Linked DNA regions of Caenorhabditis elegans. The protein of the gene in region 3 interacts with the protein of the main gene of each other region in a pairwise test. Each region holds a gene or a part of one and is shown on either strand. Other genes may lie near its edges.

Region 1 (8,422 bases), on a different chromosome or scaffold from region 3:
TCCTATGCCAATTCAAATCGTTCCCTACCTCATTGCATCTGCCCATCGGGCTTCACAGGCGATCATTGTGAAGAATACTTGTGTAAAGATGCTTGTCCATTCGGCTCAAAATGCACATATGATATCACCAAGCCAATGGATCCTATAACATGCTCTTGTGAGCAAAACGCAGCGGCTCACAACACGGATTGCTCGCCAATCTGTCAAAAGCAGCCAAACTGGTGTCACAACGGAGGAAGATGTTTGGATACTCCCGGCTATCCAGGTAAATGCAAGTGTTTGCCAAGATTCGCCGGGCCTAGATGTGATGTTCCCGTCCAGTGTGATGACTATTGCACGAACAACTCGAAATGCACAATCACAAATGGAACACATTTCGAATGTGATTGTAAGCCAGGTTTCAAGGGGCTCCGATGTGAGCAGGAGACCAAATGTAGTGAGTGCTCCAATGAAGCCAAATGCATCAAAAAACCATCTGGAACTGTAATTTGCCAATGTCCACAAGGCCTTGGTGGCGAGTACTGCGAGAAGATCACTGCCACATCCTGCCATCAACTGGAATGCAAAAATGGAGGATATTGCCTGAAACCCGACCCAAGTGCCAATAGAACTTCACCAACATGCCTATGTTCTCCAGGTTTCAAGGGCCTACTGTGCAGCTCGAATGCCTGTGAAAACTTTTGTCTTCACGATGGAAATTGTACGCTGGATGAGTACTTTGAGCCACAATGTGAATGCTATCAAGCGTTTATTGGAGATCGGTGCCAATATCGCATTCATCAACATGCTGTAATATTCAGTGATGATGACAGTGGTTGGATAAGTTAGTTTTTTTTTTATAATTTGAAATATTTGAAGATGCAGTAGCGTCAGTGGGAATTTAGTCTAACTGTGTACACAAAAAAATTTGGAAAATTGCCTAAATTTTCCAAAAAAATTGCCTTTTTTGAGAAATGGGGTTATTCAACTGTGTCGGAAAATGAAAAAGTGTATTTAAATACACTTTTTAATTTTCCGACACTACTGGAATAACCCCATAATTAATGCAGGTTCAAACCTCTACAAAGTTAAAATGGTACAATTGAAGCGCAATTGAAGTATAAAAATCATTGAAAAAAATTTCAACTTCCAAATTATAATAGGTGAAAACTGAGTAATTGCCATTTTTTGATTCTATGTGAAAAATTTCAAAAAAGTATTTGGACATTTTCGCACTATAAAACCGGTTTTAAACTATGCAAGAGTGCACATTTATTTAAACTGGTCTCGTCGCGCTCTGCATTTATTAAGCCCAGCTTTGTGTACGCGCCTTTAAGATTTGCGTGAATTCAAGTAACATTCAGATAACAATTCAAATAACAAGGAAATTATATTAAATGCAACAAGTCGTTAGAACACAAATTGGCCTGCATTTAACTTACCAAAAAAAATGCCACATGTCAAATTTTCAGAATCATTCGTCGTCCTTGCCATTATCCTTGTCACCATAGTCATCGTTGTTGGAATTTTTGCAAATCGTTCCAACAGGTAAGACATTATTTCTTTAAACTTTCTCCTCATAACTATTTTCTACAGATTCGCAGTTTTCCGTCAATTCCGTCATAATCCACTTCAAAATCAAGGTGCACCTGTCGATCAGTTCAGTAATCCTGCATATTTGATCGATGAAGGCGGCATCGAACTAGTCACCCAAAATACGAGTCTTGTCTCATCTCACGATGTAAGCCTTTTTTCTTTATTTCAGCAAGTTTTAGGACATTTAAATAAAAAACATTTCAGCGAGGATCGTTCAACAATCCGGTTTTTGAACAAGAAATGGTTCCGATCTACAATGATACCGTCGAGAATCATGAACTTTTGCCGAATAATAGATCTTCGAATTAACTTTCTGAAACTCAATTCCTATATTTTCACTTGCCACAGCTTTCTTCTCTATTTATATTCCTTATTCCCTTAACAAACTGATAAAAAAAAACTCATTTTCAATATCATTTTCTCTTGTCGACAGGGTCCTTGTTTTGTTGTAACTATTTTCTATTTCTTGTCCTCGACGATTCTGTTCTGTTTCTTTTTAAGCTGGTATAACCAATTAAGTTTTGAATTCTTAAACCGTAGTTGACTGTTAAAACATGTTCTAACTGGGTCTGTAGGCACGCGACATGAGCTTCATAGACCCGACGAATCGGGGGGATTGCCGGCGGCGGGGGACCCCAATCGGGGGGATTGGCCACGCCCATATAGCCGTGCGGTAATTCAAATTTCGCAACTTCCGCACGGTTTCAAAAAACAAAAGTTGAGAGATGTTAGGGATTGAAAGACTTAGAAAAAAATTAACTGTGCGGAGGAAATTTGAATTTCCGCACGGTTCTATGGGCGTGGCAATCCCCCCGATCCGGATCCCCCGCCGCCAGCAATCCCCCCGATTCGCCGGGTCTCTTTCATATCCACTTCGACAGTCAAGAACCATATACCCAAAAGATCTTCCAATCTGTAAATTCAATTCCTAATTTAACAAAACAAAAAATCCATTTTTAATTTCGGTGTTGAATTCGTAAACATTAGTTGACAGTTAAAATGCATTTTATACAGTATCATGCAATATTTCACAGAATGTTCTAAATAAAAATAATAATAGTGAGTGGAGGTTTAGTATACATGATAATTAGAATTCGAAGACGCTCTTCGCTGGTGAAAGGATCCCGTCGACAGTCGCCACCTTGTTTGGCATCTCTCCAACGCAATCGGGTGCCTCACTGAAAAATAAAACATTTTTAGAAAGAGAATTAATTCAATTCGAATAATTTTTTAAATATGTAAAATAAAACATACCGTCTGTAGTTTGGTCGTTCCGGTCTTCCAACCATTCGAACAATGTCTGGATCTGCTCTTGGAGACAGCAAACGATAGCCAGGAATTGGAGCAGCAAGATCATCAAGGAACATGCGTTCGGATCGTTCTTGGAGCCATCTTTCATAATCGACATCCAACTCCTTTGCACTTCCAATGACGTCACGGAAGAAGAATGCAACAAGACGATGCACAAAGATGTACTGCATGGGAGTCTCGATGCTGAATGGACGGCGCTGACGAAGAAATTGGACAGCTCGTTGTACTGGGTACTGAAAATGTGTTTAATTGAATTGATTTCACCATTTCCAACTTAAAAAGTCACTAAATTCTGATACAAACCTTGTAAGTTGGCCCTCGGAGCAAACTGCAAATGGCAATCTCGGCAGCAACAAGACAAGCCGCTCTAGAAACTCCCAAATGATCATGGATAACGACTGGCTTCGACGCGTTGCGAAGTAAACGAAGAATATTTAATGGAGAGTACATATTCGATGAATTGTTCACGTCTCCTTGCCAATGTTCCACGTGACGTTCCTCGCGATCCGGTCCAATGAGACGAAGATGAGTGACACGGAACAATGGGTCTGGAGCTTGATAGACACCAAAGTTCTCGATTCGAAGTCCACCAGGAACAGTAACGGCGGGATCCGACGGAGATTTTGGCCAGTAATATTCACATCTTTCCGGTTCCTTTCTGCTGGTTAGCATCACAATGTATGGAACTTCCTCCTGCCAAACCATTCTCCAAAAATCATCAACGGTGTTCTTCATTGGAGCTTGAGTCATGATGAACTCATTGAACAGCGGCTTTCCAGAAATCCGATTTGCGTGAATGAAATCTCCGAGATACTGACCGCGTGGGAATTGGAGAGCGATTCGAGTGGAATCCTTGCAGTGAACACGTGGATTACGGCACTTTTCCTGGTTGTTGTCTGAAGCTGAGTGAGTGAATGGGATGTGGTTGACCGAGTTCTCGAGGATTTCAAAGCGTCGCTCCATTCCTCCGATGATGGTTGACAGATACTTCGCTTTTCTCGCTGCTCCAAACATCCGCTTTCCGATTCGAATGTTGTTGTAGACTGAAAAAAAGTTAATTAATTAAGGAAAATAATAATTTATTTTCTTACACTGTCCAGCAACACGAACTCGGTCTCTGTCAGCAAGAACATTTGCCTTGAAAGCTTGAACTCGCTTTTGCATCGTAGAAGCGTCGAGTTCACGAAGTAGGTATTCAGCCATTGTCTCATTCTTGACGGCTTCTGGATGAATATCCGAAATCCATGTGCTGGTTTGATCATGTGAAAGAAGGCGCATCAGAAGCACCTGATCTCTTGCGGATTTCAGATCGATGCGATGATTTGTGAAGAAAGTTGAGTTGATTCCGAACTTCTCACAGATGCTTTTCAACGGCATCACCCATCCTTGACCGTTCACTGGACGCTTTGGCTTCTTTCCATTCTCATCCCGACGCATGTAGATGTCTGTGTATCGACCCTTCCATTTCGTGTCGAACTTTGAAGAGAAAAGCAGCTCTTGAGTGATCTCGGTGTCATCATAACTTGAACGAATCAAATTAGCCATTGCTTCCTTTGTCACCTTCTTATTGCATGGAGTAATCGATCCAACACGGGATTCTGCAGAAGCTGCAATTTTGTAGGCTGCATGAAGAGAGAAAGCTCCTGGCGATTGATGATTTTCTAGGACAGCATTCTTCATCTCCAATGCTTTCCGAGTCTTCATGACCAACGCCGGCTCCACTTGCATCGCAGTTCGGGCGGCAAACACTTTCATCCGAACATTGTTGAAGTGTCCCTTTGCCATCTCAATGTCGGCTCCATGCCCGGAATCCTCGCGTCTTCCTTCGTCCTTTGGTTTCTCGGAGACAAGACAGTCGAGAGCTTTGGATTTCCGCAATTTCGATGGAGCTGCATAAGTAGACGGAGCACCACGTGGGACTTCAATCGCATCCTCTTCCGAGTTTCCGTTCAGACGCTCCTTGGATCTTCTGCAACATAGAATATTAATTTTCTAATACTTAAGAATCTCAAAATACCTGTCCTTCTGAGCGAGCTTCTTCACTTTCTTCCGGAAACTCTTGCTGAGCGTGCTTTCGCTGTTGAATCTGGCTCTCATGCAGCTCACTCCCTTTTGTTGAGGATAATCCACCATCATATCCATGTTATCGGTGCTATCCGCCGAGGAGTCGTCGGTGTTTCCGGAGCAGAAGCTTTGAAGCGACGTCGCACGCTTCCGGCCAGCTTGTGAGCGCATCGCGTTGATTTGCTCGCGGAACATCACTTCGCTGTTCAACGCCATACCTGGAAAATTAATGAGCTTAAGCTAATAATTATTTAAGAGCAGAAGAGACAGAAAAAAAGATTTTAGGAGGAAACGAAATGGAAATTAGTCGAGTATGCGGGCGATTCCATAAAATAACTGCGAAAAACACTATTAAAGCACCTAAACGAACAAAAACCGATTTTCTAGGAGAAAAAAGAAAGAAAAATTTCGGATGCGCATACCAGAAAACAATTTCGCTGAGCGGAAAAATACAAAATTTCGCGCTCTTCCAAAATCGTAGAGCAAATCTGTGAAGATCAAAGGTACGGTAAAAGATAATGTGTGCACTTGCGTACTTTTTTCGCGTACCGTATCTCGCACTATTTACAACGGAAAACGCAAATTTAATTACATAAAATTAAATATATTATTTAAAAATTGTTTATAAACATTAAATATACGGAAAATCCGATTATGCTCATGGTGAGGATCGAAGCGGTGACTTTCAAAAAATGAGAACAACAAAGGTACGGTAACAAATAATGTGTGCACTTTTGCGTCAATTGACATGCAATGTACGCGAAACTTTTCGAATTGATTTTTCTTTCGAAATTTTTTGTTTTCTTTGAATCTTATGCGTTTTTTTGTGTTATTTAATTGCATATTTTCACTTTTTTCATAATAAAATTTATTCAATCAAGTTTCATGGTCCTCCTTTCCAAGATAACGGAGTTGGTTCGACTTCCATCTGTTCTTCAGGCTTCACGGGGCCACGAATCATTTTCTTCGAAAAATGAAGAGTTCGATCAGATCTTTCCATATTATTTCTTGAAACTTCCTCATCACACTTCACATCTTCTTCCTTTCCAGCCTTCTCCATTGACGTTTTCTTGATGGTTTGTGGCGGAGTGATTTCTTTCTTGTTCGGTTTTTCCGCTGATTTTGCTTTTTCCTTTTTGCCGCCAACATCTTTATTTTTCTTGAAATCTGGTTTCATTTCAACTGCTACAGATTCTTTTGAAATTTGAAATTTCGAAGTTTTCTTTCGATTAACATTGAAGTCCTCTGCGCTGTTGGGGTTCTTCTCGACTTCTTTTTGCATTGAAATCGTTTTTGACACAGTTGAATAGTTCGTGCTGACTCTGAATGGCTTATTTCGTGTTTATAAAACATTTTCGAGGATCTTACGGAGTGGAAGTTTTGCTGACATCGGTTTTGTCAGCCAAATCTGCCGAAGTGATGGTTTTTGTAGTGATTGAAGAGGTTTTCGGCTTTTTCTCCTCCACTTTTGAAGCTTGGCTCGTTTTAGAGCACGAAATAAACATAACTGAAATACGGTTATGCGCTTTTGAATCTAAAATTGCCGGAATACCTGTCCATACTACGAAAAGAATTAATTCAGCAAAAATGCATGCCATTTTTATAATTAATTACTAGAAATAATTGAACCTTCGATTTGCACTGGCCTTTTTTTTAATTCGGTTTATAAGTTACACAACACGTTTGAATTTCCGCAATTTTGGATTTTATTTTTAGTTTTCAAATTTTATTCCTTTTCCATTTCTCATTTTGTATTCACTGAACAATTTCTTTCTTTCCGACCTGGTAATTTCTAAAATGTTTTCTACTTGTTGTCAATAGAGCGTCGTTGCATTCCTCACTCATACTCTCTCACTCTCTCGAACGCTTTTTTTTTTTTTCATTGCAAATGTTTCATTCGAACATTGATTTTCGGTTGTTTCCTTTCTTTTTTTTCGATTTTTATAGGTTTTTAGGAGAAAATCTGATAATTTCTTGCCATTTCAAACAACCTGTAAGCTATAATTCAAAGCGCCGATATATTTGTTACTTGATTTCGAGAAAAACGCAGAAAATGTGAATTTTTCTATATTTTCTTGCCGTGTTCAGGTCCTTTTTCACTCAACAGTCACTGCATGGAATCGATTATTGATATATTTCAACATAGAGAGAGTGCAGGCAATGTGGAAGATGAAGATTAGATAAACGGAGTACCTTTTCTACATTTCCCGCTCATTCTTCGTCTATTCGTATCTTAATCTCACGTAAAATTAATATTAATATTCTCTTTTTTCCATATAATTTTTTTTAACTAGATATCAAATTTGGTGATTCTGCAAATCATATTTTGGAAAAGGACCCAAAAATTGCTAATATCTGGAATTTCGCCCCACTTTTCCTGATCGCAGCTGCTGAAATACAGTTTTTATGAGATTTTCACTTTTTATCGCATTTTCAGTTATTTATCTCGCGTTTATTCATTAATTTTGGCATATTAAACCAAAATTAGGTGCATATCGAATTAAAATGTGACTAGATCAATAAAAACTCGAGATAAACCGCGAAAAATTGCAAAAATGTGTTCCAGCTTCCATGACAAGGACGAATTAGCTTTGGTTTTTTATTTTTATTTTGTCCCGCCGTAAAACATTTCCGATTTTTTTTCGAGAAATCTGTCTGTTGAAGCGAAAGCCCACGGACTCTACAGATTCTTATGGGAAAACGGCTATTAATTATTCAGTTTATGTACTTCTTTTTATTTCTCTTTGCTCCTCAATTTGAACCTATTCACCTAAAAAGTGCTAACACAGATCGATAATAATTTATTATAAACATTCGATTGTCTGGTGGACGGTGGGTCATTATATTGCTGCTCTATATCATCATTCTTACTCTCACAGTCATTTTTATGTGAGTTATCTTCTTGGTCACAAACACTTACCGTAACCCTTTCGGCAGACGTATATTGCTTCAAATTTACTCACTCTGCGGCTTTTTGAACATTGAGCATGTTTTTTGAGTGCTCTTCAGTGGTTAAAGTCATTGAGATTTTTTTCTGACAAATTCTTCGTAAATTTCGAAAATTTTTGAAATTTATTCGTTATAATAATGTACTTTTCAATTTTTGTTTCAATATTCTTGATTTTTTCGAGCGAGAAGTGTAAGTGCCAAAATCTATAAGGTTTTCTTTGCCCGGAATCATTAGATAACTCTTTATTGTATCTTCTGAGGCCACATTCGATTCGGCATGTATATCTGCTTATTGACAACCTCACAGAGCTCGCCGTGGTCACTTTGCTTTGAAAGACGATCAAATGGCCTAAAGGAGTACCCAACAGTAAAAATGTTACTTTAATCTAAATTGATTTCCCCGAAAAATTCCCCATTAAGTTGCACTTTTTCAGAGACTATTTCCACAATTCCTCAAAACATGTGAGCATTATATTTCTTCAAACACATTCCTCTTTTCGTATCTCAGTTGAGAGTGCGTCCT
Region 2 (8,095 bases), on a different chromosome or scaffold from region 3:
CACCTAATTCATTTCTCATTCATTCTCACTTTCTTTCCAGCCTCCTTCCACACCTTATTAGTCATGCGAAAAGAACGAGAAGCACCGTGAAAATCGGAGAAGAGAGTGAACGTTTCGGCTAATCTATTCCTCAGTGTGGTGGCCAATTCTCTCTCTCTTTATAAATCAATTGCCATCATCAACATTTTGCCCATTTTATTAATAGGTACGATGCCTTCTGGCGGCGTCGTTTTCACTTTCGCATGGAAACACAGGCAGGAGATCGACCAACGTTTGAATGGAAATTGAGAGAGACAGAGACATAGACGGTGAAAGAAAAGGCGTGATGGTAGAGGTACAACTGGTGTCAATTAAAACTTTTCAATGGTAATAAACTACACGGGGAGGGGGTATCGAGGTGTCCGATCTTTAAAGAGTGAGAAGGAGGGATAATGGTAGAAGTTCGAAAAATATTTTTTACAAAGTAGAAATCCCGAAGATTGGGGAGCATCGGGTCCTACCGGCAGTTTTGAACGAAGGACATAAGACGAGGGGAGGCATTTCCGGGTATATGGAGGCGTTTTCAGACCCCGAGACATGTCGCCCCGCCCTCGTATGTTAACTTATTTTGCAGTGAAACAAAAAAATTATCAAAAATCTTTCCCTGACCAAGTGTAATATAATCGTTCAGACTACAGATGTTCTGATTAGAAATATGTGGTTTGGCGCCGTTCCTTAATTCGAGCACCTGCCTGTCAAGTGATTCGAATGGCAAAAAAATATCAAGGCTTAACGAAACGAGGGGCCTAAAAATTCCGGTTTAAAAATTAGAAAGAATTGTAATTTTGTGCAACGCTGAATTCAATACAACAAATGTGACAAATTGCTCATAATGCCGTCGGAAATGTGAGGGGAGGGCGAAGAGGCGAATGAGAAGCGTCTCCGTGACGCCTTGGCTGGGCGGAATTCCCACTGTAAACTTTTCGTTCACAAATTCAAAAAAATATTCACAATCTCTATGGGAATTATATTTGAAAGCCTGCCAGTTTTCCAGATACTTAAATTTTTAACTAAACTTACTAACTTTTTAACTTTTTAACTATTTTTAAATAAAATTCAACGACTTTTACTATATGCAAAACCTCACCTCGAAACATCAGGAAGACTTGGAAGTTTTTTGAAATTTTTCTTAGAAATATTCGAATCAGTCAGCGAATTCTTCATATTTGCAAAGAGGAATGAGCCCTGCTTTTGCGCGCGCGAGGAAGAGCCGCCTCTTTCCAGAAGAAAATGAAGGAATGAATGAAGGCAGGGAGCGATAAAAGAGGAGATAGAATTTGTGTTGGAAACTACATTTACAGGCGATTATTGTGTAGTATTAAGTACAAATCTCACAGCTTTGTAAGAGTTTTGGGGCTCTCGAGAAGGAGGAGGAGGAGGACTTATAAGCTTATGCAATTTGATCAAAAGTGCTAAACTTGGCTGAAATTTCAGAATCAAGCAGGTTTGTAGTTGTTTTGTAGAACTAATTTTTGCAAATATTAAAAATTTTAATTTGAAAAAGTTAGATCGTTTCGGATCAAAAAAAATTTCTCCGAAATTTGTTAGTAAGTCAAAAACTAATAATTAAAACTGAGAATTAAAAAAAATTACAGTAAACTTTTTGATTTACAACTATTATAAAACCGTAGTTTAAAAATTGCAAACTGTGACATCTCGGAGAAAAGCCAAAAAAAAAATTGCAAAAACTGTATGTTTTTACAGCTCCAACCATTTTGGCAATAAATAGGACAAGTATTTATTTTTACTGAAAAACTGGAAATTTGGTCATTCACAATAGGAAGTAATTTCTAAAACTACAGAAAGTGCTAAACAACACACAAAGCCAGCTAGCGGAGGATCGTTGCGAGTTGACCAGGTAGATCAAAAACAAAAAAAAATTGTACATACATCTCAAGAATCTGTAGATCACTGTATACAATCATAAAAGGTATGGAAAGCCTCTCCTAACGACTAATGAAAAAGGGAATCCCTGTGAGAGAGGCGAAGAACGATGAAGAATAGAAAAGACGGGTTTTTTACGAGTTGTTTCCATCATGGCCCGGCGTGTGTGTTGCCTCGGTTGGTTTGATTACGATGCCTCATTTTCCCGACCGCAAGGTCCTCCTAGTCTCCACCATACAGGTAAAGAAAACAGAAAACACTACCGAATTAGTACTTGTAATTAAAATAAAAATGTGTGTGTGTGGGGATAGATAGGGGAACGCGAGAACCTTATCTGGGGGAGGGTGGGGAAAGCGGGACTGAAGACTAACACAAGTGATACAGAGAGACAAAGATCGGAAAGATTCGGTGCGGATTTTTGATGACCAACATTTGATACGGTACTTTTGTGAGGAACGCTTTTTTTTGGAAAAAAATATCGTAGTTTTCTGAAAACTTCAGCACAAGGTTTGGCGAATTGGCAAAATTTTTTGCAAACTTTGAATTTTTCAAACAGAACCTTCACAATGTTTAAAAAAATTAAAACTGAAAATTTGTAGAAAAACCCTTTCTTGGTCAATTTCTTGATGTATGGAAATTCAGGAAAAATAGTTTTCTGCAACATTTGTATCACAACGAACAAAATAAAATTTTTGCACATTTGCTCTTAGGCTTGCGAATTTTTCTTTTAACTAAATCTAACAAGATCAAAAAGTTCCATAATTATTTCGTTCAAGTGAACAAATCTCTTGACACTTAAAAATCTCTAAAATCAACCTGTTTTCAAGAAACCATAAAATGTTCGTTTTCTGTAAATTGTCTACTTTCAAGTACAATCTATCTCATTTTTCCTCTTCTCACACACATTGAAATCGTACTTCGAAGAACAATCAGAAAACGTCTTGAAATTGGATAGGGTTAAGGGGGCAAGCACAAAAGGAGTCATTAAAGTTCCATTTTCAAAAAGTGGAGGAAAAAACTTCTGATGAGAACATCATGACGTGCAACTAAATTCTCCCTTCCCGGATATTTTCCTATCATTTTTCTTCGAAGAGAGGGTAAAGGGAGAAAAAGGCCAAGGGAACACTGATTGACTCTTTGAGCATTTTTACACTTTGTGTGTCTCGTTTAAAATGTTGTTACATTCAAAATTGTGAGAAATCGACGAGAGATAGGATTTGAAAAATTGTTCAATTGAAGCATAAGTTTCTACTGAAAAGTCGCTTAAAATTGCAAGTGGCTGAGGAAGTGATTTGATTTTTTTAAAATTTTTTTTAACCAAAAAAATACCGACCTCTACGTCTACTATAAAATATGCGTAAACTTACATGAGGTGAACACTAAAGGCCAGAGTTCAACTTAAAATAAAGGAAATCAGCAAACAGTAGGCAGGCAGGCAGGCATAAGGATATACCTACCAACAATTTAACAATTTACATTACTCCCTTTCTATTGTGACTAGACAACGGGGCCGCCTTACTCAAACGCCAATGCCAATAAACTACGTTAGCTTAGGTCTAACTGTTTTGTTTTAGAGTATGTAAGCTTCAAGGTATTCTAAAACAGCTGTTTTCAGAAAATGAATGTTTTGAAACTATTAAAGTGGGAGAAAAACAAAATTTTTAACAAAAATGTATTGAATCCTGATTAAAATTGCAAAATCAAACAGGTCTGAATCAAAAAAGAAATGATTGACTGTGAATCTAATTGTGAAATCGCTGGTATACCATTCTTGGGTACTCTTGATGACAAATACTCCCCCCACTCCTCCTTTTTATTGAAAAGAAAACACCTCTTCATTGAATGAGAAGGGTTCTCGATCTCAATTTTCATTGATTTTTTTCCTTGTTCCGCCTTTAGATTTCTATTACAATAATACATTGTGATTTTCAAAACATGTTCCAATTTCCAACTAATTAGGCCCTTTACACCAGCTTTTCAACTAATCAGGTTAAGCATAAATGGACAAAAAACATCAAAAAGTTTTCTCAAGGACCCCACAGGGTGTAAAGTTTAATGGGATCCATATGGTGGTCAATGGGGGGGGGCTTTCAAGGAAAATAAATGACCGTCTGCTGCAGGCACGACTTTTGAATATTTCTAGAAATTTCCTTAAGAACTTCAAAGTAATTCGAAATTGCAATATTTTAAACTACATACGTTTAGTGGGAAAATTGAAGAAAAAATTTGAAGAGAAAAAGAATCAAAAGCTCACTGTGAAACTGATCTTCCTTGTGCATCCAGACTCATTACACTGCGATCTCGCTGACCCTGAAATGATTTTTTTTGAATTTTAGGAGCAATTTGTTTAGAATTTTATAATCCTAGTAGAACTATAATAACTAGTAATATCAAAAATGAACATTTAAGAAATCACACAAAAGTTCAGAAAAAAGTCAATATCTTTACTTTTTCAGAGGAGAAATTTAAAAATTTTCAAACTCCATTTCAATTTGAAACTATAATTACATGCACTACTAATAGAGGTATAGCACACCCACCTGTTGTGTAACATCAATCGGTTGTTGCCCGTAACTTCGACTGTTACGTGTGAACGAGGCAAGAGCAGCCATGCTTCAACTACTCTAGACTGCTGCAAGTTTGGGAGAGAATTCCTAAAAATTTTTTGTACTTTTTAATACAATTTGTGGTAGGGGGTAATAAGAGAGTTGACGACGAGTAGAGGGTAATCGGATCAAATACATTTTGTTATCAATGGGAGAAACACCTCACCGAACGTGGGGACAAGTTGGAGCAGATAAGAAAAAGGGGCAAATGATGTTGGAAGAGTCCGTTTTTCTCCCCCTGTTTCTCTTTTACTCTCTAGGAGGAATCCACCAAATTTTTTTTTTGCAGAAACTTGTGTTGTGTTGCGGGTTTGTGGAAGAGCATATGGGAATTGGAGACATAGAGTACGGAGCAACAAACGTTTTTTGAATGGTACACCTAACGGGGTGGAGAACGATGATAAATTGATAGGCAGGCAGTGGATGCTTGGAACGCATGGAGCAAAACTTTTTAGTGAACTTGCTTTGAAAATACAATATAATATAAAAACAAAATAGCGTGAAACTTATTATTAGTGAACCGAAATACGTTAGATGCACAATGACAACAGTGATAAGAAAACGAGATAACTAGATATTTACGCACTTTTAAAGTTCTTCTCCCCATTTTTACGACTAACAATTGGCTTATCAAGAGTCACGAGAGGAGCATCAGCTGGCACCGACCAAAATGGTTTTTTTTCAACTTCCCCTTGTAAGGGAAATTTCTGAACTTTTCCAAAACTTTCTTCCCATAATCTTTGCGCATTCCAAATGTTTTCAAAGCATGCCTTATGAAAACTTAATGCTAATAGTTTTTGATGTCTGATATAAAATGCAAAAATATGGATATCATATGATCAGCGGCAGGAAATATTAAAAAGGGGAGTCTAGAAATAAACAGGCTGAAATTTAAAAAATAGAAGTTAGGGAAGGCATAGAGGATAGGGACCAAGAATGGATAAGCTCAAGCCTAAACCCAAGCCTAAACCCAAGCCCAAACCCAAGCCTAAACTCAAACTTAAACCCAAGTCTAAACTCAAAGTTAAGCCCAAGCCTAAACCTGAGGCTAAACCTGAGCCTAAACCTGAGCCTAAACCTGAACCTAAACCCAAGCCTAAACCCAAGCCTAAACCCAAGCCTAAACCCAAGCCTAAACCCAAGCTTAAACCCAAGCCTAAACCCAAACTTAAACCCAAGCCTAACCCCAAGCCTCAAGCCTAAATCCAACCCTATCTTGAACCTTAGCCTAACACCAATCATAAACAAAAGCTTAAGCCCATAGCAAATCTAAAATCCTATAGCAACCTAAACCCTAGCCTAAGATTAAACCTGAGAATTCTCTCTTATTGAAGCTTAATTGTGTACAAATAACTTATCTGGCATTGGATTCCTGATTGTGAGACGGTTAACGAAATGTGCAAAAAGTGAGAAGAATTGAAAGTAATAAAATAATTGAACAAAGGCAATTTATTTTTATTTCATACCACGTGGATGACCGTGTAAGTTTATTTTGGGTTTCACGCAAAGTTACTTTTTGAAAAATTTTCCAATTAGCATAGTATGTAGACTCGAGGAAAATTGGCATATTTGCTTGGCAAAAGCAAGCCTAAATGAAAACCAGAGCTTCTGCTAAAATTAACTAAATATGTGGTAGGCAAGCACAAAAAAACTAAACCCAAGCCTGAATCCAATCCTAAACACAAGCCTAAACCCAAGCCTTAACACAAGCCTAACAAAGCCTAAACCGGTTTTACCCTGCCTAAACCGGTTTAACCTTTCACGTAAGTGTTTAAAATTTTTTCTCCAATTTTCAAAATTGAGTTGGTCCGAGGTAAGTAGGCATATTTGCCTGCCAACGAATGACTCGTACCTACCCCCAGCGTACAACAAGGCAGGAATGTAGGCCGTATTTTTTATTAACACATGGATGACTGCGTAAGTTTATTTTATGTTTCACTTAAATAACCTTTAAAATGTGTTTCCTATTAGAAAAATGAAATTAACTCGAGGCAGGTAGGCATATTTGACTGTATCGAGCCTACGGCCTATAAATCACTAGACAAGAACGCCTGAAAACCTTAAATTCTATCACGTGTAAAACCAAAAACCAAAGAAAAAACAGCAGCCTGGTAATTAGAAATTCAAAGAAAAAAAGCAAATGGATGAGCGAGAAAGAAGAGAAAAGTGTGAAAGATTCATAGGGATATGTGATGAAGGGTGGTTCGGCGGGGCGAAGGCGTATTCCCTCAGAGTGAAAGAATGGTATAGAACAAGAAGAAGAAGAAAAAAGTGCATTCGGGGTCATAGTAAATTGGGCGTGTTTGAGCAGGGTGAGTGAGGGGAAGAGACAAGAGAAAAGGGGGTACAAAAATGACTGGTATCGACGATTATAATCGAATGAATGAGAGTGTTTGTATCTGATGGAATATCTAGGTAAAGACGGGCGGAACCAATGGCACGGCATTTACGGACGGGAAGGGCCATTCGGACGGTGCGTGATTTATTTATTAGCATGGTAAGAGAACACCGGAATGGGTGTCTTAGTGAAGACAGAAACATGTAGGTAATAGAAATTGGAATTGAAAGTTTTAAAATTATTTCACTCTTCACCGACAATTTTGAAGCCCGGGAGCTTAGTTGATCGCTCAAAAAATTTCTAAATTGCATAGCTTACAAAATGCTATTTGTTTAGATTTTTTTTTCAAATGTCAGATTTTAGATCTTAAAATATCATTATTTTGAGATTATAAAAAACGTTACAGCTATATGTTAGTAAGTTAAGTAAGAGTTTCCAAACATAATTCAAAAATTTTTTGACTTTTGATAAGTTTCGAAAGAAAACTTCCACATTTTGAAACGTCCACATTATTTCAGAGTTTAAAAACTATATTTGCATTTCCAGAAAGAAAGTTCCAAAAGTTATGCGAAAATTTCATATGAGTGAGTCACTTTTCCCATACTATAACATATTCAAAACCTAGGGAGTACAAATGGGAGAATTCAAAATTGTGGTGAGATCTAGACTGAGATCTTTTCACCTGACTCTTTCAGGTGAAAACGACTGTCTGCCTACTAAGCCTTTAAGGCAACCTATGCCTACCTCCTGCATACATGCGCGAAAACTGTAAAAGTGCACGAGAAATTTTTTGTTTACATAGAAAATGTAAACTGGATGTATACCAAGGCAGATGCGTAGGCAGGTATGCACGCCTAAACATTTTCCTAAATTTTTATAGTATCTGAATTTCAATATCAAACATTTTAAACATAAATATCATTATGTTTAGAACCAATACCGTAATCTCAAATTTTCGTCCAAAATGCCAATTTTCGGATGAACTGAGCAAATATTGTGGAAGGGGAAATGATTAGGAAAAGAGCAGCCGCCATCAGTATGTTTGGCGCGGCTTCCCTTTAAGGAATTAGTCAAAAAAGGAGAATGTTACAATGAATGAAGTTGTTCCAGTGTTCGATCCTCGACATATTCTGAAAGCAAAAAAAAGTGATTGTCAAGAGATATTAAACTAAACAATAAGGAATTGACGGGTGGAATACGGAAGAAAAGTGGAGGATGAGAAGCGAAT
Region 3 (7,604 bases):
GTCCCTTGTCTGCCTGAAGGCCGGTATGAATATTTTGCAACAGTTTCTAGCGCAACAAAGTTATAAATAGCTATAAACTAATCCATGAAAATTTTATTCGAAAATTGCAAAATTCCTAATCTAGATATCCATTCCCACAGCTGGTCGGTCAGCTAGCGTCCCAAATGACAAATGACCAAAGCTTCTCGATTCATGCAAAAATTTGGGTAAAAAGAAAAAGGAGAAGAAGAAAGCGTGAGCCTCTCGAAAAACGTCGACAAGCACAACGCCACACAAAATGAAATTTGGCGCAGCTCGAATGGAGAATTTTTAGACTTTTATGTTCCATTTGTTCCGTTAACCATTTGAGAGATTTGCTGATATAGAGATTGAAAAGGTGGAATGTACCTTTAAAATAATTGGGCGGTTACTGTAGTTTTATGCTTTGTGTGGATGTAGAGTAGAGACAGTGGGAAAGAATTTTTTTAAAAATTATTTTCAAGATGGTTGCTAGAAAATATTGAAGGAAAAGTAGAAAAATGTAAATTAGAACAATATTGTTAAAAAAGATTTCCGAAAATTTGTCAAATTACCAAAACCTTTAGATCATCTGAAAAATGTAGGTTTTTAAATACAAGTTTGATAGTAAGATTTTCATTATTTTTAACTCAAGAAAAATCAATTTTTCGAATTTTTTCGTTTGAAAAAAGTACTAAAACTACAGTAACTGTACAGTTCAAAACGGAATTTTCAATTCAGTGGCAATTTCCAAAGTTCCAGAGAAACTTACCCTGAACTTTTTGATTTTATTAACCTTTATTGCCTCCCCCGCCACCCAGTTTATTGGCTCAATAATCTATTACGTTTCCATCTTTTTTATTTAACGATTATGCACATGCACACAGGTTTCAGCAGCACTTTGAAGATAACAAACACATGCTTTTTGCCCCTCCTTTTTCCCATTTTCTCTTCTTCTTGTTCTTTTGTGCCTATTGTTACTTCCAGATGTTACTTCTACTCCCGCTTCTTCTATTTCCATCAGCCACATTGGCTCTTTATGATTGTTTTAGTGGATTTGTGGGACGAATGCAGGTGAGTTTTTAACTCCAAAGAATGAAAAATTCGAAAAAAAATTCTGGAAGAGGGCGAATATAATTTACAATATTTATATTTATTTTTTGGCTGTTTCCCAATCGGTGAGGCATGGTTTGATGGGAAATGTAACAAAAATTGCAAAGCCTTATCAAAAAAAACATGGTGCATCTGACATGACCTATGCTTCTCGCGCAGGAATTCTTTTGATTTTCAAAAATCTTTAGAAAAATAATCATATAATATTGCCAAAAAAAAAAGCGGTTTCTGAAATCAATGTGCAATCGCGCTCTTCGGCCAAATTTAAAACTCTCCGCCCCTAATCGTTGGGTCTCGTTAGGTATTGATGGCTATTTGTGGTTCTAATTTTGTTTTAATTAATTTTTTTGTGGAAATTAATAAAATAAAATTCCTAGTCAAATGAAAAATTTTTAAACATAGTGCCGATATAAAAATCATTAAAACCAACGATAAAAGTTACAAGCATAAAAAGGAAATAATCGAAAACGTTTGATTTTACGGTTTCTCCTGCCAAATACCTAACGAGACCCAACGATTGGGAGCGTTCAGCCGTGGAGCATGCTTGCATCTCATTTTCAAAACGCGCATTTTTCTGCGTCCCTATAATAAATAACATTCCAGGCATCAGTTGAAGAAAATCATTTCCACATAAATGACACCGCAATGTGCTCGGCAATGTATTGTATAAAAGTGATTCTACATTCAGCTCTAGACGACGGTGAGCTCTTTTTCGAATTTGTGCGTCAAATTTGATGTATGGAACACTTTACTTCATTTGCCAAACAATAATACCAAGTTTCATTTTCAGATGGAATTTTCCAGCAAGGAATCTCCTCTCGATGTGCCTATACCGGAGGTGATCGTCAAGTTTGCCAAAAGAGCGAAGGAAAATGTCAGGATATTTCATTTTATGATGGAATGAAAGGAAATGTGAGTGGAGCATAATGGGTCTCGCCACGCAGACAACAAGTTACTGTAGCTCGTGTCGATTTACGGGCCAATATTTTTCAAATTAAATCCATAAATCGACACGAGTTACAGTAGCCTGTTGTCCGCGTGGCGAGACCTATGACATCTACAGTAATCCCTATACATATTTTACTTGCAGTTTTCATTCTGCTGCTGTAAAGAAAACAAGTGCAACGTGGCCACTCAAACCGAATTAAACTCGATATACTCAATGAATTCAAGATCTGCACGAAAAACCAATGGCTCATATGGTTACCCTCTTATTATTTTAAATGTTATTTCAGTTTTTGCTCTAGCGTTAATATTTGGATTTTAGATAAAACAAATAAAAAATAAAAATTTACAATAATTCATTTTCGATTCTAGTGATATGGGAGTGAGATGCATGCATGTAAATACAATTCAGTTAATGGAAAGTGGGTTAAATTTAAAATGATCATAATACAAGAACAATAGAAATTAATAAGCCGGTGTGATACGGCTAAACTCCTGGATCATAGCATTATACTTTTGAATGAATCCGATCGATTTGAAGCGAAGGCCTAGCGCGGCTCGATGGTACCACTTGTTGACATAAGGTTCGATCCAACGAAGAATGACACGGTAAATGAAGAGATAGAGAAGAACTGAAGAGACGGAGAGACGACGTTGCAGACGAACGAAGACGCATGATTGAAGAATTAGTGATTTGGTGATTGGAGATCCACGGATAAAATGCATCAAAGCAGTCTCAATGGAAACTAGAGTTCCTGACTTGGAGCATCCATCAATGCACTGAACAATTGTAGGTGTGGAGAGTTGACGAGCTCTGTAAATTGAAATTTGATTGGTGTTGAATAGATAAAAAAACCCACTTTCTCAAAACGCGGAATGGCCAATGCACATCTCCCAAATATTGCCAATCCCACTGCCAGTGCTCCAAAAAGAGTTCTTCATCGAATTCAGCATCCAAAAGATTTCCGCCAACTTTTTGAACTTTCAATTTAGTGATGGTGAACAATGGATCTGCCTTCGAGTCAACCTTCATACAAGTAATATGGAATGATCCAAAACGAAGAGATTCATTCTCAGCACGAGGCCAATAGTACGGACAGTGATTACGATTCGCCGAGTCGAGTGGACCAAGAGTTGAAGAATCAACTGCTGAGTTGAGCATCACGATGAATTGGCACTTCTCTTGGAAGACCATACGCCAGAAATCTTCTTGAGTGTTCTTCAATGGAGCCTGTGCACAGATGAATGTGTTCAGTAGTGGTCCTCCTTTGACATAGTTTGCATGAATGAAATCAGTTGTTCCACTGAAAATTTGGATTTTGATTGAATTTTTTTCAACTTTCAACTTTGCTCACTATGTACTCTTGGCTGTATACCCTTCTTCCTGCAAAAACTCGTGTTCATCGGAGAACATTCCATTTCTCAGTTCATTTCGATCATCAAGCCGGCCTAAACCATCATTCAGCTTGACCCTCGAAAACTCTGCACAAGGTACCATTTTACTGCGAGCTTTCGTCAGGTAATTCGCGTTGAATGCAGTTTGCAATGATTCCTCATCTGACAACTCATTGCTCACAAACATTCGATCGAGCCGGTTGAACTCCTGCACAAACTCTGTGAGGTGGCAACTGAACTTCCCCGGCTCAACAAGCAGTGACCATTTCACTTTGGAGGACATCTCTTCAGAAAACTTGGCGATTCGAGCAGCCACCATGGAGACATGCTCCGGATTCAATTGACCCCAATTGCAAAGCGGATCGCTCTGGAAATATTTTAATATTTTTCTAGTAAATTTGAAAAATTATAAAACCATCTTATTCTGATAAAACTCCGCCGCTGCTCTCTGAAGCACTGAGCTGCAATCAGACATCGAAGGGACAAGCCGATCACGGAGCCAACCTGCCATTGAGCTTCTGAAAAATTAATTCATTTTGCTCGATTTATTCTACGAAATTATTTTTACCCATATCTATGAGCTAGCTCATCATGATTAATTGTTGGATATTCCTTCGCGTTCATCAACTTCTCGACAAGCAAAATTCTCGTCTCCTCATCACAAATGATCCCATCGACACGGAAAAGCTTCTGGGCGATGAATGTTTGCAGTTCTTCGAGCTCATGCTGCTCAACACGCTCCATTAACAGCTCTTCTTCCGATTTCTGTCCACCGAACCATCCACTTTTCTTTTCCGGCTGAAAATTATTTATACTGATTTTTTAAAGAATTTAATTACTCACAGCTTTTGGTGTCAGATGACCTTTTCGTCGATTGGCTGAGTGGACCCACTTCTCGTTGATTACCGCATCTTTGAACTCAATACTGTCGGATCGAGCCAAATTCGAGAGCGGAAGATGACTGTCAGAGGTGCGCATTCTGGAAAAATGAAAAAAATTCTTTAAAAAATCGATTAAACTATAAAAACGAGATTTTTTCGAGGAAAAAACAAGAAAAATGCGTTTTTCCATCATTAAAACAAAGAAAATAATTTTAAAAATTAGCGGGGAGATGAATCGTGGTGAAACCTGTCACTTGCATTTGTCTACGCGCCTTCTGTGGATACGGTAGCGCACATAGTTGTATGCCTGCCTTTTTCATATTTGTTTATTCGTTAGACTAAACTGAATTGAAAACAACTTAAAAATGTAAATTTATTTCAAAAATTAAGATTTAATATCAGAAGTGCTATCGTAAACAATTTCCACAGGGGCATCATTGTCTGTGTTGTTCGCCGGATTTCGCAACAGCTTGCTCTTCTCACTCTCCCGTTTTCTGATATTGGCTTTTCTTCGAATAAAGAACAAAACCACGAGAATAACCAGTGCAACAACTGCCACAAAAACCACCACGACGTAGACGATGACAGTGATGAACAAGAGCTTCTGAAAATAAAAAATTGGAAAAAAAATCTAATTTTTGTTAATAAATTAAAAAATCCTACCTCTCGAACACCAGTTTCTCCGCCAAGAGATTTGAAAGTAGAATCTCCAAAACCATAAGCTGAAGCAAAAAACAGCGAATTCAAGGCAAAATCTAACGAAGATTTTTTAAAACCGCCTTTTTCAGATTTCAAGGGAAGAATAATATCAGTGGCGTGTCCTCGAATAAGTACCGCCCATTGATTCATCGGGGTTTTGATTAGATTAAGCTGATTCAACGCGTCACATCGTGTCAGAGCCTCGGAAAACTGAAAATCAAACGATAATTTTGAAAAAGACGCGAAATTTTTCGATTTTTGCGCGAAAAGTACGGTAGCGGGTCTAGACACGACATTTTTTTTTATTGCAAAAGGGTGTGAGCCTTTAAAGAGTACTGTACCTTTAACAATTTCCGCAACAACCAAAGTTTGAAACTACAGTACTCTTTAAAGGCGCACACCCGTTTGTTTTAACACAAATAATGTCGTGTCGAGAACTGGCGCAAAACTCACCTTCAATTGCCTTGTAATAGTAGCCATATAGTTTCTCTGTTTCGTTTTATCCTCAATTTTTGATGTATAAGCTTCCATTTTACAAATTGATGAGAGCTCCCGCTTTCCTTGAATTTCCTCCAAAGTTACATCCTTTACAGTACCCGATAGTTGACATTTTATCATTTCAGCCACCGACTGGAAATAAGAATTTTTTGTACAAATTTTTTTAAAATTTGAGTTACCTTAAAATCTGGCTCATAAAAAACATGAAAGAGCCTTGAATGAAAAGCTCGTTTATCTTCAGAGTAGGTCAACACAAACGTGGAATGCTGTTGACACGTGGAAGTCAATGAGAAGAGAATTGAAAGGAATATTGATACAACAATTGCACATTGCTTCATTTTTTAATTTCGAAAAAAAATAAACAGCAACAAATCTTGATGTGAAAGTTGAGAAATGAATTAATTTAGTTTAAAGAAAAAAAGCTAAAATGACTAGTAGCGTCCGTGAGCACGTTTTTAAAAATTATTTAAAAATTTATTTCTAAAAGTGAAGTAAAATAATTTTTACTGTTTTATTCGGACATTATTGCCCATTTGTTAAATCGAATTTTTGATTTTTTTAAATGGTGGAAAAAAATCGGAGAGGAAAAATTATGACCCTCTGAAAATCCTGAAACTATTTTTTTCTGCGACCCATTTTGAAAACTCCAAAAGAAAAAAGGAATTTATGCAAATGAATTTCGTGTTTTCTTTTTCTCAGAAACACATATGACCTTCTTCACCGAATTCGTCATTCTGGTCATCTGATCGTATTTATTTGTTCCAAAAAGTAGTTCAACAACATCCTCAAACCGTCTGACCATTGTTGTAGCCAACCAACATAACATTTTTTTTGACTTGAAAACTGGTTAGCTTCCTAAAAATTACTACGTCATCATTATTTCTGTTGCTGCTTTCGTAGCTTTCAGTAAAATGTTTTTCAAAGTGTGCTTCTTCTCAAGAAATCTGTAAACTATTAAATAATTTGAAATAGATAATGTAGGATTACTGTAGTTTCGGAAAACATAAGTTTCAGTTTTTTTTAAAGAGATAGGGGATCGGAATACTGTAGTAGTACTCTAGGGGTACTATAAGACTGCTGTAGCATTACCGTAGTTTTAGAAACACTCAGTATTTGCATTTGCAAGGGATATTGAGTTAAGTGGCTACAGGATAGAAGTGGTCGACGCACCTGTAGTTTCGGAAAACATAAGTTTCAGTTTTTTTAAAGAGATAGGGGATCGGAATACTGTAGTAGTACTCTAGGGGTACTATAAGACTGCTGTAGCATTACCGTAGTTTTAGAAACACTCAGTATTTGCATTTGCAAGGGATATTGAGTTAAGTGGCTACAGGATAGAAGTGGTCGACGCACCTAATTAGTGCTGTAAGGGTACTGTAGTAGTACTGTAGATGTACTGTGGGATTACTGTAGTTTTACTGTAGGGCTGAAGGGGTACTGTAGGAGTACTGTAGTTTTAGAAAAATGAATTTCTGTATTTTAAAGGGGTATTGGGATTGGGTTAGTAAGTAGTACTGAAGTGGTACTGTAGATAAAAATTCATTTAATATTGGAATGAATCTTTCTTTTTTTTTAATCCGTAGACTTACCATAAAACAAACTTCACAATTGTTCCAAAACCATGTAGTTTTGTATTTTTCTCTCCCAAAATCCGTCAGAAATTCTATGACCGGCTACCACTACTATTTCGTCATAATGTTTCTTCTCGAAACGCCATTACATCTCCGAGAAGTCGAAACGATTTTAGTGGGTTGTTGTTCGACGAATTTTGTTTGGTTTCTTGGGGCGCCTGCGCCACGAGAGAAAGAGAGAAAGAAGGTGACGGTCACTATATTTTGTGTAAGGTCACTCAGTCATCATCAGACACACAAATTCGTAGCCAATTCCAAAACCAAAACCCGAAATGTTCTCGATTTTGTATGTTGTGGGAGTGCTGTTACAACTCATGGACCTGTTAATTTTACTAGTATTACGGTTAATTCGTATATAAAATAGAAATTGGTATTTAGGCAGTGTTTTTTTTTGAATTCAGTCTTGATTTTTTTAATCGAATTTTCATTTGAGACATTTTTTTGA

Evidence for each region.
Region 1: the proteins of egg-3 (region 3) and egg-4 interact in a two-hybrid assay, tested with the Caenorhabditis elegans proteins (one study listed by BioGRID).
Region 2: the proteins of egg-3 (region 3) and mbk-2 interact in binary tests that used the Caenorhabditis elegans proteins (3 or more experiments, as listed by UniProt).

Annotation. Positions count from the first base shown.
Region 1 is NC_003279.8:3,928,956-3,937,377, reverse strand, and holds egg-4 (Inactive protein-tyrosine phosphatase egg-4), read right to left. Parts: upstream 5,169-8,422; 5' UTR 5,167-5,168; coding exon 4,904-5,166; intron 4,856-4,903; coding exon 3,978-4,855; intron 3,930-3,977; coding exon 3,190-3,929; intron 3,120-3,189; coding exon 2,830-3,119; intron 2,754-2,829; coding exon 2,663-2,753; 3' UTR 2,565-2,662; downstream 1-2,564. Other genes in the region: lrp-2 (EGF-like domain-containing protein), read left to right, coding at 1-823, 1,452-1,527, 1,576-1,720, 1,780-1,884; T21E3.2 (uncharacterized protein), read right to left, coding at 5,834-6,272, 6,319-6,457, 6,503-6,548. UniProt on the Caenorhabditis elegans protein: Inactive phosphatase which acts redundantly with egg-5 in the oocyte-to-zygote transition. Required for the polarization of cortical actin cytoskeleton rearrangement in the oocyte before and after fertilization.
Region 2 is NC_003282.8:13,005,598-13,013,692, reverse strand, and holds the start of mbk-2 (Dual specificity tyrosine-phosphorylation-regulated kinase mbk-2), read right to left. Parts: upstream 4,536-8,095; coding exon 4,464-4,535; intron 4,234-4,463; coding exon 4,178-4,233; intron 4,057-4,177; exon of another isoform or gene 4,036-4,056; intron 1-4,035. UniProt on the Caenorhabditis elegans protein: Required for oocyte-to-zygote transition in which it phosphorylates oocyte proteins, including mei-1, oma-1, oma-2, mex-5, and mex-6, modifying their activity and/or stability following meiosis.
Region 3 is NC_003280.10:10,880,013-10,887,616, forward strand, and holds egg-3 (Protein tyrosine phosphatase-like protein egg-3), read right to left. Parts: upstream 4,430-7,604; 5' UTR 4,429-4,429; coding exon 4,294-4,428; intron 4,249-4,293; coding exon 4,019-4,248; intron 3,969-4,018; coding exon 3,866-3,968; intron 3,818-3,865; coding exon 3,411-3,817; intron 3,360-3,410; coding exon 2,916-3,359; intron 2,870-2,915; coding exon 2,521-2,869; 3' UTR 2,396-2,520; downstream 1-2,395. Other genes in the region: lurp-1 (UPAR/Ly6 domain-containing protein), read left to right, coding at 916-1,071, 1,714-1,810, 1,901-2,022, 2,201-2,377; F44F4.3 (DUF2330 domain-containing protein), read right to left, coding at 4,717-4,935, 4,995-5,240, 5,484-5,660, 5,708-5,866. UniProt on the Caenorhabditis elegans protein: Probable pseudophosphatase required for the oocyte-to-zygote transition during which it regulates the polarized dispersal of the cortical actin cytoskeleton, the synthesis of the eggshell chitin layer and the formation of the polar bodies after meiosis I and II.